Neodiprion lecontei: one gene and its partners. The protein of the gene in region 2 interacts with the protein of the main gene of each other region in a pairwise test. Links are inferred from orthologs where the notes say so. Each region holds a gene or a part of one and is shown on either strand. Other genes may lie near its edges. The genes, in order: ras-related protein Rap1, ral guanine nucleotide dissociation stimulator and ras-like protein 1.

Region 1 (5,188 bases), about 9.1 Mb from region 2:
CACATATGAGTGTCAGAGGGGACTCGATATCGTAGTCGAAATCGGACACGTGTAATAAGGTAGTGAAAAAAGCGAAATCAATGCCGGTTAACCCCGATAAAACAACTCGAAACACATGTGTGTTTCTTGTCGATGAAACGAAAGAAGAAAAGAAAACGAAAATTAAACTAATTAATAAATCGTTTGCAACTTATAACGTACTATACATCGTTTATGATAAATAGGTTGATGTAAGAAAAACATACGCACACACGTACGGACGACTCTTATCGTTATAATATCATCATCGACTAGCTTTATTGTGTAATGCGATATCCTTATCTGTGCATAGAATATTTCTGGATGCTCGGTTTCAGTCGTTTAGAGAAATTTTTATGACATAACGTATCCCGTTGTTTCAGACTCATAAAAATTCAGGTTTAAATAATGGTACAACTCCATCTCTATACAAGTGTATTTAAATACTATTTCTAGTATATCAACCGCTTGAAGTTTACTGATTTAAAAACAAACATCAATCAATAACAGATCAATCTTCGGATAATCGATTGAAATTTGATGCTGCTCGAGGAGGCGCAACGATTATTTTTGTGTAGAGTTTATCCCCGTTTTTGGTACGAAGGATTACCGGAAAATCGACGAATCGCTTTAAATTAGTACGAATTATGACAGATGGTACAGAAATAGATCTACGAGGGAATGTGTTTTTTTTCTATCTTTGTTGCTGCTTGTTTCCTGCAGTTTGCCAGAATGGCGAAACTGAGTAGATGGAGTGTATCGTTTCGTCGATTAAGTTCAACCAGATACCTACACACACCAAGGATAATTGGTATCACTTACGTAACGACTCTCTACCTATATGTACATATGTATACACCCTCGAGTGGTTTCAAGTTGATAATTTTGTAACGTATACGTACAACTGTTTCTGTATACTTCGCGATGTTACTCCCACAATACGTGTTGTACCTTTCTGCAGGATGAGGGGTGGTTTGCTTTCTTCTCGTTGCTGTGTGAATTAATTTTTAATTGTATTCCCCCTGCTGCTGGAAGCCGATAATAGTCCATGGAATAATATAATAATCATACACAACGTGCCGAGTTTTCTTTACATTGTATAACGTGCATTAAAAACTTTAAAAATTTTACTATATATTCATTCGACTTACGTTTAAGATTAGTACGTACAATATTGACGGACGAGTAAATGAGGTTGCGTTTAATAATAACCTGCATGATAAACACTGGCAACAAGACACGTCGTAGAGAGACCCGTACAGTCCTCGTTTATGACGCCAGGTTGAAGAAAAATACAATCGATACATCGATGTCTAAAAAGCATGACGCAAGAAAGAATTTTATTTCCATGATCGGTGTAATCATCGATGATATAATCGTGTGCGATTACACAGATTATTCTATGCTGTCTATACAAATGACTAGCATTTTATCTCAAGAGAAGTTATTATCAAGTTCAAATTTCCCGCTCTCGTGACTCGATTTTATGTTACCTGTGTGAAGGTATGTAACAGCTGAGAAACAGTCAAGAATATTTGAAAATCATTCGACGTGAATTATAAAAATCGGGTAGAAGGTAATCTTGAGAGTGCGAGATCAGTGCCCGTATAAGCGTGGTACTATTATTAAATGTGCAGTACGTTAATTGATTTTATTTAAGGAACGACCGTGATGCACGCAACGTGCAGAGGGGGGGTGTCGAAGACCCTTAAACACATGAAGGATTTTCGTCCCGCGATGACGCTGATGGGGAATGGATGACGTTTATACACGCTCGTGTTACATCGTGCATAGATACACCGTATAATACGTGCGTACGGCGTTTTATGATATGAGTCACATTAGGATTATGATTATTTTTAGTGTATGTATCCGTAAGTTGAATCGTGTCGTCACTTGTTCTGATCGTAATTGCGGTAAAGCCAACCAACAACCATATATTGCATGTCTAGATGTCGCCTCGTAACGTGAAAGAGCCGACTAAATTATTACTGATAAATTATTTATCGTGGACAGTACGATAGGTCGATTTTAAAACGAGCCTCGTTCGCCGATAAAAGCGATTGGTTACCGTGATTAATTGAAAGAAATTGACAGGATTGACAGTAATAAAAGGGCAATAGCAGAAGAGAACAAAAAAAAGAGGAACATCGGTAACGTGGTACTGAAAGGAAGGGAGGGAACGCTCTCAGTTATGTGGATCAAGTATTTAGTCTATGGATGGTCGAAACGCAAGATAAATCCGGCTGCTGTGATCGTAGATAATAAATTCCTAGATATGCGACAAACGACAGAAGAAGAAAAATTCGCTTTCTCTCCCTTTATTCATCCGATTCCGATTATCGAATACTCGCGAATTAACTTTTTGTTTTTTGTTGCATAGTGAGAGGACCAGAGGGAAGCGGATGGGATCGACTGTCGAGCTAAAATGAGATACGACAAGATACTTGAGAGCTCGGACTGTGGGCGTTTTCAGTGTAGGGATGAATTGATGCATCGCTTGTGTGCGGAGATGAAGATAAGCGAAGAGAGACGGAATGAAGTAGATGTGTGTAATTTTCTTAGTTACATACCTGACGCCTATCTCGCGGTTGGTATCTCTGGGGATCCTTGATTTCCCGTAGAAATTACGATATATGGTGTATGATTGTTGTTGTTGTTGTTGTTTTATTTTGTTTTTTTACGACGTCCACCGTTTTCGATTTCGTTGCAACGACTTCCAAGTCTGACTGTGATTAGATTCTCCGGTTGTTTCCTGTCGTTCGCTTTTGCCTTCTTCTGTCGTCGCCGCCGCCGCTGCTGCTGCTGTTGCTGCTGCTGCTACACCGCCATGACTTCATGTAGAGAGAGAAAATACCCACTACTACCCAGAGTCACGATGTAGGTAGGTAGGCAGGCAGGCAGTTGAGTAGGTGTACGTACCAATTGCACACCGAGATTGTCGTCGAGTTGTGACACTGATACTCGGTTCACGAATGAAGGAATATCTTTTCTCTATTTTTTTTCGTTCGTAACTCTTTAAAGTCTTCCTACGAAACTTTTATTACAACTTTACATTCACAGATTTTCTTCCCCTCTAAGCCTCGTGTCGCCGATGCTGCACCCTTTCCACGCACACCGCACTACTGCCGAACTCGCGAGCATATAACAATAATTAATTTTACCTTTTATACAGTCTTGTTGAATTGTGTTGTTTTTTTTTTTTTTTAACTATTATTGTTATTTTCTTTGTATCCCGTATCTTTTTTCTTTTTCCTCGCAACACTTCTTTGTTCATTTACTCGTTAATTTAAATTCTCTAGTTTGTTGTTTTTTTTTTTCTCTTACGGATCATTCGATTCCACAGAGTCTCTATATCACCGCACGTTTTACTCCTTCTGTCGGTTCGTATCAATTTATAACACGGCCTTAAGTAACGCCCGGCGAATCACAATTCTACCGTTATCTAGGGCGATGCCTACTCTGCTCGTCGCCGCTCGCTCACCCTGTCTTCCATTGGCACGTCGCTACGAACGTTCGCCGATAGCTTCTCTCGTAACCTTTCGTCGGCCAATTGGGGGCTCCCTTACGTCGGTCAAGCCCAATGGGCACTCAGCTTTTATGTGATGACGTCACTAGCCATTCGACCAACGTAAGCGCAACCGCTTAGTCATACGCAGCCACACACCGAACGACATCCGGAACGCCAGATTCGAGCAGGATATTGTTTCGTACCTGTTTAAGCAGCAATTTTTGCTCTATTCCGTCACTACGAGCGTCGATTTTACCTATTTCGGAGCTATAAACTCGAGGTAACTGCCAAAAATCTCAAATAATTCTACTCACTCTCGGCCAATGGAGAGTGCGGAAAATTAATTTACTTTCTTTAAGTTGGCAGTTCCGTATGCCGCGAAATATAAAACTTGAAGACGTATCGGATCTTCGTGCATGCGATCTTGCGTTAATTTGTACAGAAATTCAAATGTTCGAATGTCTTTTGTTTCTTGGTCTTACCGTTAATCAGATGAAATTAGAAGGTCAACGATGGAGCGAGTTACTCCACGTGGTTTCCGATCGAAGGGTGCGAATCAGGCAGAAATATTAAGAGCCCGTCAGCGGGATGATATGTTTGTTACAAATTTGCGGGAAAACTTATCAGAATTGATGCACAAACTCGGTGGCAGCAAATTACTTCTACACATCGTACAGTCCGAGCTACCAGCCAAATTCGCCTATTTCATTGCTACTACAGCAATGAACAATCAGACTATTGGTGAGGAGTACACTGGCATTATTCAAGCTGACCTGAAAGCCTTAAAAGTTCCATCGCTCGCTGTGGGTATTCAGTTTTGGAACATCCGCTGAATTCAAATGCCCGTTTTTATAAACAGACTGAAATTATCTTTCAGGCACGAACGTTAGCCATACTATTGGAATGCTTTGGCGAACAAGTCTTGATAAGGATATTAGACAGGCTATTGGTCTCAATCAACAATCCAGGAAACGAATTAACACCCGAGGCGAAATCTATTCTAAATTTCTCATTGACGAGACTCAGAACTGCTATTCCCATTGTAATTCTAGCCCATCGAGGTCTCTTCTATATTCTTGGTCGGTATTACAGCCTCAGCAAAAGAATCGCTGGTGTTGATTATATCAAGGTGCGTTGACCGTACTGTCTACCCCTGCTCAAAGCATATTTGATAGTAAAAATTGCAAATATTTTTCGCAGGTATACGGCCGTCGTCCAGCCGAAGGGATAAGTTGGGGTTTGCGATTGTTGGGGGTGGCAACGATCGCTCAATGTTTATTGAAGCTCTGGAGCAGCCGACAGTTATCAGCATCTGAGGAGGCAAAAACAGTTGAAATCACGAAAGGGTTGGGCACAGATTCACGTAGCTGCCAATTATGCCTCGAAGTTGTACCAACGACCGCAACACCCTGTGGTCATCTTTTCTGTTGGCAATGTATTTCTGATTGGCTTGCCGCCAGACCGCAGTGCCCATTGTGCAGAGAGTATGCCCATCCATCTAGAATTATATATTTATTAAATATTTGAGAAATGCGGGCAGAGAGAAGAAAAAAAAGTGGCAAACACGCATGCGTTATTTCCATTCCAATGTGACAAACCGTTAGATACATGTACTAGGTACGGAGATTGTTTCACAGCATGAAAAAAGTAAATGCATGC
Region 2 (5,307 bases):
GTTCATTAGTCAAAAAAGAGCAAAGCTTTTACTCTGGTAAAACATAACTGTACCGGACGTAGGCAGCAGGCGGTAAAACCGGCCGGTTGTGTCGGTCACTCGGCGAACAGCCTGGTGCTGTCGCTGCTTGGTAAGAGAATCGGTCGTATTCAGCGGCTGCTATCTGAACGAGTGTGTATGGAAGTTCAGGCGTGTATGACGTACGGTATTCACGGTACTCGCTCACCGGTTTGCCGATGTGCGCAACGCATTCATGTACGTACACGCGATTCTCTCACTTCGACATTCCTCGATCGACGCGCCTACCTTCTTTCGACCGTACAGTATCGTGTATAAACTTGACACATTTAGAACAAGATATGCCATTCGTGACGTACTCCAGCTGTGTTGTACGACGGCACGAAGGAGTTTTGAATCGTTTGGAAACTCAGAGAAACAGCTATTTTGCTTTTCCATGTTAACTGATGTTATACATGGTATAAAGATCCGTTTGCCGAATGAAAATTATCGTCGAATAGCGTGAACTTTTGTCCCATCATCTTTTCCTAACTCATTTCGCAGCTTATTGAAATAGGACTTGGAGTTTCTATTATAATCACTCAGCTTCAACTTTTGTCTGTGTTCCGGTTGAATTGCGTGAACTTTCAATCTGAATTCATGACGATTCGAAGGTGCAGACAGCCTTATGAGTGCTGATTATTTAGATTAATATAATATCAGGGTCACAACGTATCTGTACATGTACATTATATGAAACGGACTCCGCGCTGGCAAAGAAGACGGTGATAATTTATATTGCAAATTCGAGTCAACTTTCGTGGGAGAGATCGTTTCAACCGGATAACGGAACAGTATTGCACCGGTTTTATGGATCAAGTTTTATAGAGAAGCTTAACACAACGCGAACGAAAAAAAAACGAACAATTTCTACTAATAACTTTTTTCCATACATCAATGCAAAAAATCGATTTACAGCTACTTCTTTTTCCGTCTTTGTCTTCTCCATATTGCAAACCGAGCAAATTGTTGCCGTAATTTTCATTTCACTTCCCGTGATGATTCGCGTAACGTGGGAGAACAACGCGCAGACTTTAGAAATATTCACGGTACGGGAATATAGAAAGGAAATCTGCAATCCTTAGACCGCATTCTCATGCCATTTTACGCCGGTCTAGATAGTTTTTTCGTCTTCAGTTTCATCCGCTTTGCTCTCCTGCAATTCACTGTTTATCCTAATTTCACGGGATTCCCGAATCCTGAACCGATGCCTCAGCCTTTCCCGATTAGCGATTACTCGTTCCAAAAACGCAGTGTGGCAGACTAAAGTTTGATCATGATTTATCCCTTGGGTCATCTTACTGTCGTTTCAATTCCGAACAGTCCAAGAACTCGAGAGAAATTAGTTCACACCATTCAAATATGTAATGGTGTAATATATACTCAGACCGTTCAGAGCTTAACACGTCCAGTGATAATTGGTATTAAACGAATGAAACGTTTTTCAAGGTGAAGGTCCTACTGTTGAGGCAACGGCTCGACCATGAGGCCATATCATGCATTATACTTTTGTATAAAAATTCACCTTCTCTCATGTCCAGTATATTTTTCCCCCTCAATACTTTTCAGCTCTCTTCCCTTACTACTCCTTTCCTAATTGTCAAGATCATTGACAATAATTCTCATTTGAACAGTGCATGGAAATCGTATTGAGTGTTTCAGCTTGAAAATTCAAACCGAAGTCTTGAATGAAAGGTAAGATATTAAGATCAAGATTTTTTTCCCTCCAGTTTTGTTTTAAAAAACGTGAGTTGCTTTTTCTCATGCGGACTTGCGCAATTCGCATGACACATGAACACTCAAAATTTGCGTACGACAAATCAGCGCTGGCTCAACAAGGCGGCGGGCTTTTACTGTTATGGTAGTTCGTACCCACTCCCAGTTTACCTCTATACTTCAACGTTCGTTGTTTAGAGATGTGTGAGTGCAGTAGTTGTTAGTAAAAAAAAAAGCGAAAGAGTCAGACACAAAAAAATTCATACACAGCTAGCGCGCATAAGGGTAAAAGGGGAATACTAGGTATGTCTGCTGTGTGAAATTGTTAAACCACATAAAACCAATGGTAAAAGATATGTTAGTTTATTAAAGAATATACCAAGGAGAAAATAATTGTTATACAAAGAAAGAGAAGGAAAGTAATTAAAGACCGTGCGTTAGTGTGCGTGACAACAGCTGATCGAGAACCGCCATCGACTTGATATGAAAAAATAATCGTTGTCTTCCTTATATTTATGGATGATTTTTTTTTTATTTTGGTTTTTTCTACTCAAATTACCAAGGAGTCGTCAGCATTTTCACCACTCATAGCACAGATCCTCTTCGTAGTAAATGCGGGCGCCTGTTACTGTCGACTCTTCGCGGAGGTTCCTCCAAGATTTTCTCACAACCTGCTGCACTGAAACAACCGGGACTTAAAGAATTCAACGATTCGACAATAATTAGCACTCTGCTTCTCTCCGACATTATAATGGTATCCATATTCCACTGTGTTTTATAATCGAGGTGATGCCCGTTCTTCTTTGGAACTTCCGCTGCTTCACTCCTACGATGTCGATGATAAGGCTGCTGTTTCTCGCTGTTCCATGTGGCCTATCCAGAACCAATCAGCAGTCATTTCACTGTCGTTGATCACATGGGAAAAAAAAATAAATAAATAACGTGCATACAGTTCGCAGTTGAGCACATACGGAGACAGGATCAATGGTGCTTTCGCTGCCGCTGACACCTGTCATCCGAAGTGTTGGTATGGAGTTTCACTGTGGCCGGGAAGACAAGCACTGGACACCCTATTCTCGAAATTATTGTGCTCCTTTTCAGCAAAGGACGTAACGCAGCACACGAAATACGAATTACGCGTGGCCAAAGAACGTCAACGACATTTGCAGGTCTCGCGATCAGTCCGGTCGGTCGGTCGTTTTCCTGCCTTTCCTCGATCACTACGACGGCACAGACCCTATGAACCCTCGATCCGCACGAATCGATGCGACTGAATTTGTCCACTGAAAACCGCTGGCAGCGCTGTCGCCCGATATTTCACTTCGACGAACCGTCGTCGGCTCTGCTACTCCCGAACTGCCCGTTGACGCCATTCCCACGTTTGGTTTCTCCCTCTCCACCGTCTTTTCTATGCAGAAATTCCCGTTATTAGGCGCTTTGCATTGCTGACCGACAGTACGCTCGCTGCTTTCACCGTCCGACGCTAGCTTCGGCGATCCCAGCGCCATCTCTTCGTCTTGTCGGCAACAATGTTGCGTCGGTCCTGCAATAAACCTGCAATGCCATTTTGGATTGTTTTTTTTTTTTCTTTTTTCATGCATACTTGTTTTGCGAAACGTGATGATGCAACGGCACATTAAAGGTGTTGTTTGCACACTTGATGCTAATGATTATTAATTACATTAATACCGGTAGGTTGGTAGTGTCAAAATATTTCTCAAACAAACCGTATGTTCGTGTATAGGTACGATCTCATGCAACCTCAATTCTTGTCACCGTGAATTGAAATTATGCGTACCTACTTCAGCTTTCACATTATAAATATTTTCAACGAATGTTCAATGTCTCCGATTTTAAATCTCATTGTTTCACCGTCATTATTTTGAGGCGCATCTCACTCGATCACACTGGCCATGGTCCTCTTATCTTTCTTCCCGATTGACGTATAAATATGCAATTACGGTTCACAAATCCCGGCAAAATTTTCTGTGCGAACGATTCTGTTTGGTTAAGCTTTCCACGGGATTAATGGCGGGGTTTTACCCGTAGTCTGAGCTTCATTTTGATAATTATTATCGTTAGCATTCATACGAGTCTTCAATATTGTGAAAACATTACTCCATTTAGTACAATCCAACGAATAAATAAAACCTTCGACTGATTTGAGTTTTTTTGTTTGTTTTGTACGTACCTGAAAAACCCTAGCTAAGATTATCTTGTTTCACACTTTGATGGCAAACAACAACATTCTTTTCATTGTTGATTTTGCTTTTGTTGTGTTTTTTGTTTGAATTTTATTTTCCTTTACCACTATCACATTAAAAGATGAAAGGATTTGAATCTGAAACAATCACGTCTGGCATAGAACTAGAACGAATACAGACGAAAACTACTGAGTGTTGGAAAATTGAGAAAAGTAATAGCAATATACATTATACACATATATATTAGACCTGTCCTTAAGAAGGGCAAAATCGAATTTTAATGGTCTTACCCTCCAAATCGGTTCGAAATAATTAAAAAAAAATGTCCGAATTTTTAAAAATTTTTTCCTCCATATTTACCCACGCCTAAAAAGCCTTACTTTTTCCCATAAGAAAAGCATTGGTTTTTCGGGATTTTTAATCGTTTTCTTATCGCTGCCGTAATTATCAGCAGTAATTATCAGCCCAAAAATGCTTGTATCGAATTCCAAAAAATTGGACAAAACGGTAACATAAGTGTCAACATTTTCTGAGAATTTGTGATTTTTTGGCTGATTATTACGGCATATATAACACACACACACACACACACACACTTATTATTCATAACAGATTAAAAAGAAATTCCAAGGTACAAACACGCGACATTAAAAAAAAAAAAACCGCGAGAACTACATACGCAGACCTAACACCAACCTAAACACATAATTAATTGAATGTTGCAGAAGAGACTAACAATTGTACGTTTCGTCAACATTGTAAACGTCATCAACTGTTGATTGCTTGATTATAGGCTGCTTGTTACTAACATTATTATAATACCTTTACTTTTCTCGATTTCCAAATACTCGGGTTTTTTCGTTTTAGTTCTACACCAGACGTGATTATTTCAAATTTAATTTCTTGCATCTTTTAATGTAACAGAGGTAAAAGAAAATAATATACATATACCTATATATATATATATATATATACGTATGTTTATACGCATACATATACCTATGTAATGTATACCACCTCTTCATTTATCAATTCGCATGGGACAAATTTTCAACTCCGCATATATATCGAGCGATATACATTTACATACGTATGTACATATTTGGATTATATATAGCACCGCCTCAATTTATTAATATTTATTTATAACAATAATAATGACAATAATAATAATAATTATTATAATAAATCATGAATTCCAGTAATCTTCGCACTCATACCAGTATTCTTATAACTTCAATTTCATAATTATCTCAATATAATTGTTACGCTATATGCATATGCATACATATATATATTTCATATGTAATATTTGTATTCATCAATATTA
Region 3 (4,916 bases), on a different chromosome or scaffold from region 2:
CCGATTATCCTCCTATATTTCACATACATAGTTTAACAGAATTATCCTAGAGCTCTACTAGATATTTTTCCGCAAATAATTTCAATGTATTGCAACGTTTTTCATTTCGATTTCGCAATCTTAAAATTTTTTTTATCACTTTTGTCGATTGAAATTGAGCATCCCTTACACGTTTGACCAAGATGGCAGTATCTTATTTTGTTAAATAATTTTACAACCAAAGATATTTTTTCTTCTTCTTCTTTTCAATTATGATTAAGCTTTCGTAAGCGATGGATGATCACACTATCTATGCTAGGATGAACCCAATATTTGTGTGGGTCAAAGCCTTAGAAATCATAAATCGAAGTAGAAAAAACATGTGTGATAATATTCAAAACCATATGGATAATTGCAACCATTTTCCAATGTATACATCACTATTTAATATTCACTCACATAAAAATTAGTTAAAAAATTCTACCATATATGAGTAGCACTTCGTATATAAATGAATTATACTAACAATTTATTTCAACATTGCTATAGTGCGTAAAACATTACTGCGAAAATTGTGTGATTTTATGCGTATGAATATAATTTTAAATTGTACGATTACATTATTTAACAAGTTCTTAAGAGATAATTTTTCATACTTAGCTTAAGAATGGTCAAAACCCAAATAAAGTTTCGAAATATAGATAGTTAATCCAGTAAAATGTTATCATTATTTGTAAGATAAGATTTGATACTACGAGTAAAAATGTATTGTGTAATATTGTACAATCATACATCAATCGTTTTAAAAAATGTTGTGGTGGCAGCTTTACTTCGCGTTTCAAAGTGAACTGCACTAATGTGCGACACAGTTAATTAACCCAACGGTTTTTTTTTCTTTTTACATTATACTCGCGCTTGTATAGTATATAAAGGTAACAGAAATTAGTTAACCATTTACAGAAGACAGCAGCGATGCCTTCGGCGTCCAGAACTTCTTGCTCTCATACGCTTTCGTTTTTCTTTGCCTCTTTGTTCTTTATCACTTCGGATTTCTCTAACCTGAAAGATATAAGTGATAACCAGTAAGATTTTTTACCACTTGCACACTTTTTCATCTTTTACTATGAATCACTTTGCTTACTAGAGTATAGAAAGCGTCGTCTACTCCCATTCTAGTTTTTGCGGAAGTTTCAACGAATGGTACACCATACTGACGAGCTACTTCTCTCGCTTGCGTCATATTTACAGCCCATGACTGAAGGTCACATTTATTCCCAACTAACACCATTGGCACCTCTTCGGCATCTTTGACACGTTTTATCTGTTCTCTGTATGTTCCAATGTCCTGTGTAATGCGAAGAAAGCAACCAAAGTTAGGTCAGTGTAATTATAGTGAAGAAAATAAAAGAATGGAAAAAATTGCTTAAATATGACAAACTTTACTATACCCTGTAATTAATTACAATAAAACCTCTTGATTCATACTCTCAAGTTATAAATACTTGTCACATTGATAAGCTGAGAAGATATCATTGCAAGTGTGAAAAGCTTTGCTACAGACTCAAGGGATATCTGATGATCAGGTTAATTGAGACAAGACAACTGTGTGATTTTTTTTGGTTACTGTGATTTTTACTAACTACATTATTTTGTAAGTAAACATCGCGAAGATTAATAATTTTCTAGCTTACTAAACAATAAATGTATCGAAATGCAGTATTGTACTTACTTCAAAACTTTTTGCCGAATTAACAGCAAAGACTAGTAGAAATCCTTCACCAGTTCGCATGTATTGGTCCCGCATTGCGCTATACTCTTCTTGGCCAGCGGTATCTAAAATATCCAGCAAACAAGTTTCCCCATCTATAACAACCTGAAAAATATGAAAATAATTAAGCTAAAAATAAAGAGTATTTGTCTATTTCTAGTGCATTGAAGATAACTTTGATTGAAAAAAAAATTAATTGTATAACTTATGCGACAAAATTTTTGAATCCAAATGTTAGTTACCTGTTTTCTATAAGAGTCTTCTATTGTTGGATCATATTCATCTACAAAGTGGTTCTGAATTAGTTGTATGGTGAGCGCTGACTTGCCAACACCTCCAGCCCCTACAACAACTAGCTTGTATTCCGTCATGACAGTCTTTTTAGTAAATCTCAACTTGAACCAAAGTACCGGACCTGAATGATGCTGGGTCGTACACTGGTTGAAAAAAGATACCTGCAAAGTGAAAAAAGAATCTTCAACAAAGATGATGGAGAGCAATTGATCTTCACTAATTGTAAGAGATTCTATCTACCTATTTATGTCTCAAGGATGGATATTATGAAGTATCCCATAGAAAGTTCGCGAAAGCAAAGGAAAAATGCTGAAATTAATCTTGCAAATGTTTCGAGAAATAAGAAAGTGGTATTTAAATTTGTGTTATATTGATTGGGTATTTTGAGCTAATGAAAAACTTATTAAAGGTTATTCGCACAATCGTATTGTAAAATACGGTAGTTGATTAGAGTTACGATGATGATAAACGATATTTTGTTATTATCTGTCGATTGGTTACATCAGATTTGCATTTTCTAATCTGTCAACGATCTGTAAGTGAGAAATAGGATATGAGTTGTGAAGAAAGAAAAAAAAAGTAACACTAAACAGGGCAAAGTAAACTTGAAGTTGAGGATAAAAATGTTTCATATACTTACTAAAGCTTGCAGGGCATTTCACTACAGAGTTTATTTTCAAATTCTTTTGTCACGACAATTGTTTAGTCACTCGCTCGAGCTTAAAAGTATAAATTAATTTAATAAAATTAATTGTTTTGATGAGTGTCGCCTGCCACAGCCTTAGAGCATATAGACATTGAGGAAGCATCGACGCTGGAAAACTGTCTCCGAGTCAGTGACAGAGAGAGACATCGTAATATTACATGCGCGCTCTGTCTGCGGCAAGAGCGTACCTGTCGTAATTGAGTGCCCCGCGCATTGCGTGGATATAATCCGGATATGTATACACATACACTGATTTCTAGTAGATAAGGTTATTGAAACAAACAGTTAATAATATCAGTATTTAACATATTTTTAAATGAAAAATTTTAATTTATGAATGTGGAACGGGCATTTTCTCCATAAAGTGTGATGGAAACGCGACGTTTCAATGGCATGATTTTAGTAAATAAATTAAACTTAATAGCAGCACTCGAACTTCTGATGCTCCTGGTATGCACTACGAGCAAAACAAACTATTAAAGCCTTTACAGCCAGGAACCGGGATCCTGTGATACAAGCGTGAGTGCTCGGAGCACTAGCGTAAGTCGGCCAATCGGAGCCTGCGAGACAGAGAAGGGATGTAGTATTACTATTTCCCTCTCTGTACCGTTTTCCACTTATGCGAAAGGGTATACCAGGACTATATGCTCTAAGGCCACAGCCCACTTCGCTACTGCCATTAGTGAGTGGTAGTCACAAAAAACTCACCCAGTTCGAATCACTACCGGTAAAATAGATAACAAGATATGTTGCCATCTACATGTTGGTCAACAAAGTAGGAATCGGCCACTCTTCACGTATTATTAGAGGATACCATCATTTTTCGTAAAACAATAACGGAATGAAATAATTTTGACCCCTAGGCACCCTAATCTGATTCATAAAAAAACACGTATTCGACGATAGTGACATATAGTGTTAATTGTAGGCTTGACTTGCTTTGAATTCGATTGCGAATCAGACGTATTTACAGCCTAAGATCACAGCATGTCTTGGAAACGCGGATCATGGAACGGAAAAAGAATACGGGTCTAATGAAATTCGATTTAAAAAAGTAACCGAAGGTTTTGCAGCTTCATCATTGTACCAAAAGTAGAGTTTTCCATTTTTCATTTTAGATCACTCTAGTTGCCGTAATCATGTCCGTAAACGAGTCGTGCGGCATCTACAGCGCATTGTTTATATAACAATAAATATGTTCTTTATGAATTTTTTGCAATAGGAAAAAAAAAACAAAAACGAGACATTTCAATACTACGTATTAACTGTGTGCAAAAGTTCAATCTTGGCACCCGAATACCTGAGTGAAAAAGAAATATGGAAAATAGACTCGTTTTTCGAAGGTTATGCTTACCCCTTAAAATTCTGTTACAGGCCTTAGGGAAGAAAGTAAAAATAAAATAAATTTACATTTCATATAACTTACTTCAAAAGTTTATACATAAAAAATATGTTAGCCTAAGATATGAATATAATATAAAATAAAAACTATTAATAAGAATATTAAATATAACGTAATAAATATGCAATCGTAAATGTATATACAGTTCAATTTTAATCAAATTCGTCGATCATTTTGGGTTATGATGATAATGTGAATAATAATTTAAATACAATATAGTCAATAATGTACCTATCTTCGATATAATATTATATTATACAATAGTCTTCTCTAACACCGGGGTTATGAAAAATATAATTATTAATTTGTGCAACAAGCTTCATTCATTCTTTTTCTCTCACACGTATTCGATAATTTGTACAAGTAATTAACTATGTTCTTAACAATATCGAATCGTATAATAATAAAAATAATTTATAAACAATTCTGTACAATATTGATAATTAATAAATTAAGAAGAAACATCTTAACAGCCAAACCTGCAATTTAATTCAACATTAATCAATAAATAGCATTTCATTGATCTCTGACTTCGAAATCAAGTTCTTTTCAAAAGTTTCTTCTTCCAAAGTATTTAAATAATCATTCATTTCTATAACTAGCAAAAGCTGGATTTTTCTTTTACTCTCGTTTTTCCTTCCTGAAATCTTACAACAGCACGTGGACAAATTTTGTGAAATGTTGTCAATCTTAAAAAATGTATTCTAGGTAATAATATACGAAATCGGCAAATATGTACGCCCATTAAACGCGGGGTTGGCTGTAAT

The links.
Region 1: the proteins of ral guanine nucleotide dissociation stimulator (region 2) and ras-related protein Rap1 interact in a two-hybrid assay, tested with the Drosophila melanogaster proteins (2 studies listed by BioGRID). The link is inferred for Neodiprion lecontei from reciprocal best matches to the Drosophila melanogaster genes Rgl and Rap1.
Region 3: the proteins of ral guanine nucleotide dissociation stimulator (region 2) and ras-like protein 1 interact in a two-hybrid assay, tested with the Drosophila melanogaster proteins (2 studies listed by BioGRID). The link is inferred for Neodiprion lecontei from reciprocal best matches to the Drosophila melanogaster genes Rgl and Ras85D.

What each region holds. Positions count from the first base shown.
Region 1 is NC_060264.1:31,047,769-31,052,956, reverse strand, and holds the start of ras-related protein Rap1, read right to left. Parts: upstream 3,211-5,188; 5' UTR 2,592-3,210; intron 1-2,591. Other genes in the region: peroxisome biogenesis factor 10, read left to right, coding at 4,042-4,332, 4,407-4,658, 4,730-5,056. UniProt on the Drosophila melanogaster protein: Ras proteins bind GDP/GTP and possess intrinsic GTPase activity. Plays a role in photoreceptor cell determination.
Region 2 is NC_060264.1:21,917,474-21,922,780, forward strand, and holds the start of ral guanine nucleotide dissociation stimulator, read right to left. Parts: upstream 3,262-5,307; 5' UTR 2,363-3,261; coding exon of another isoform or gene 2,333-2,362; intron 1-2,332.
Region 3 is NC_060265.1:20,932,566-20,937,481, forward strand, and holds ras-like protein 1, read right to left. Parts: upstream 2,880-4,916; 5' UTR 2,682-2,879; intron 2,567-2,681; exon of another isoform or gene 2,282-2,566; intron 2,203-2,281; 5' UTR 2,119-2,202; coding exon 1,990-2,118; intron 1,853-1,989; coding exon 1,709-1,852; intron 1,325-1,708; coding exon 1,121-1,324; intron 1,039-1,120; coding exon 934-1,038; 3' UTR 790-933; downstream 1-789. UniProt on the Drosophila melanogaster protein: Ras proteins bind GDP/GTP and possess intrinsic GTPase activity. Plays a role in eye development by regulating cell growth, survival of postmitotic ommatidial cells and differentiation of photoreceptor cells.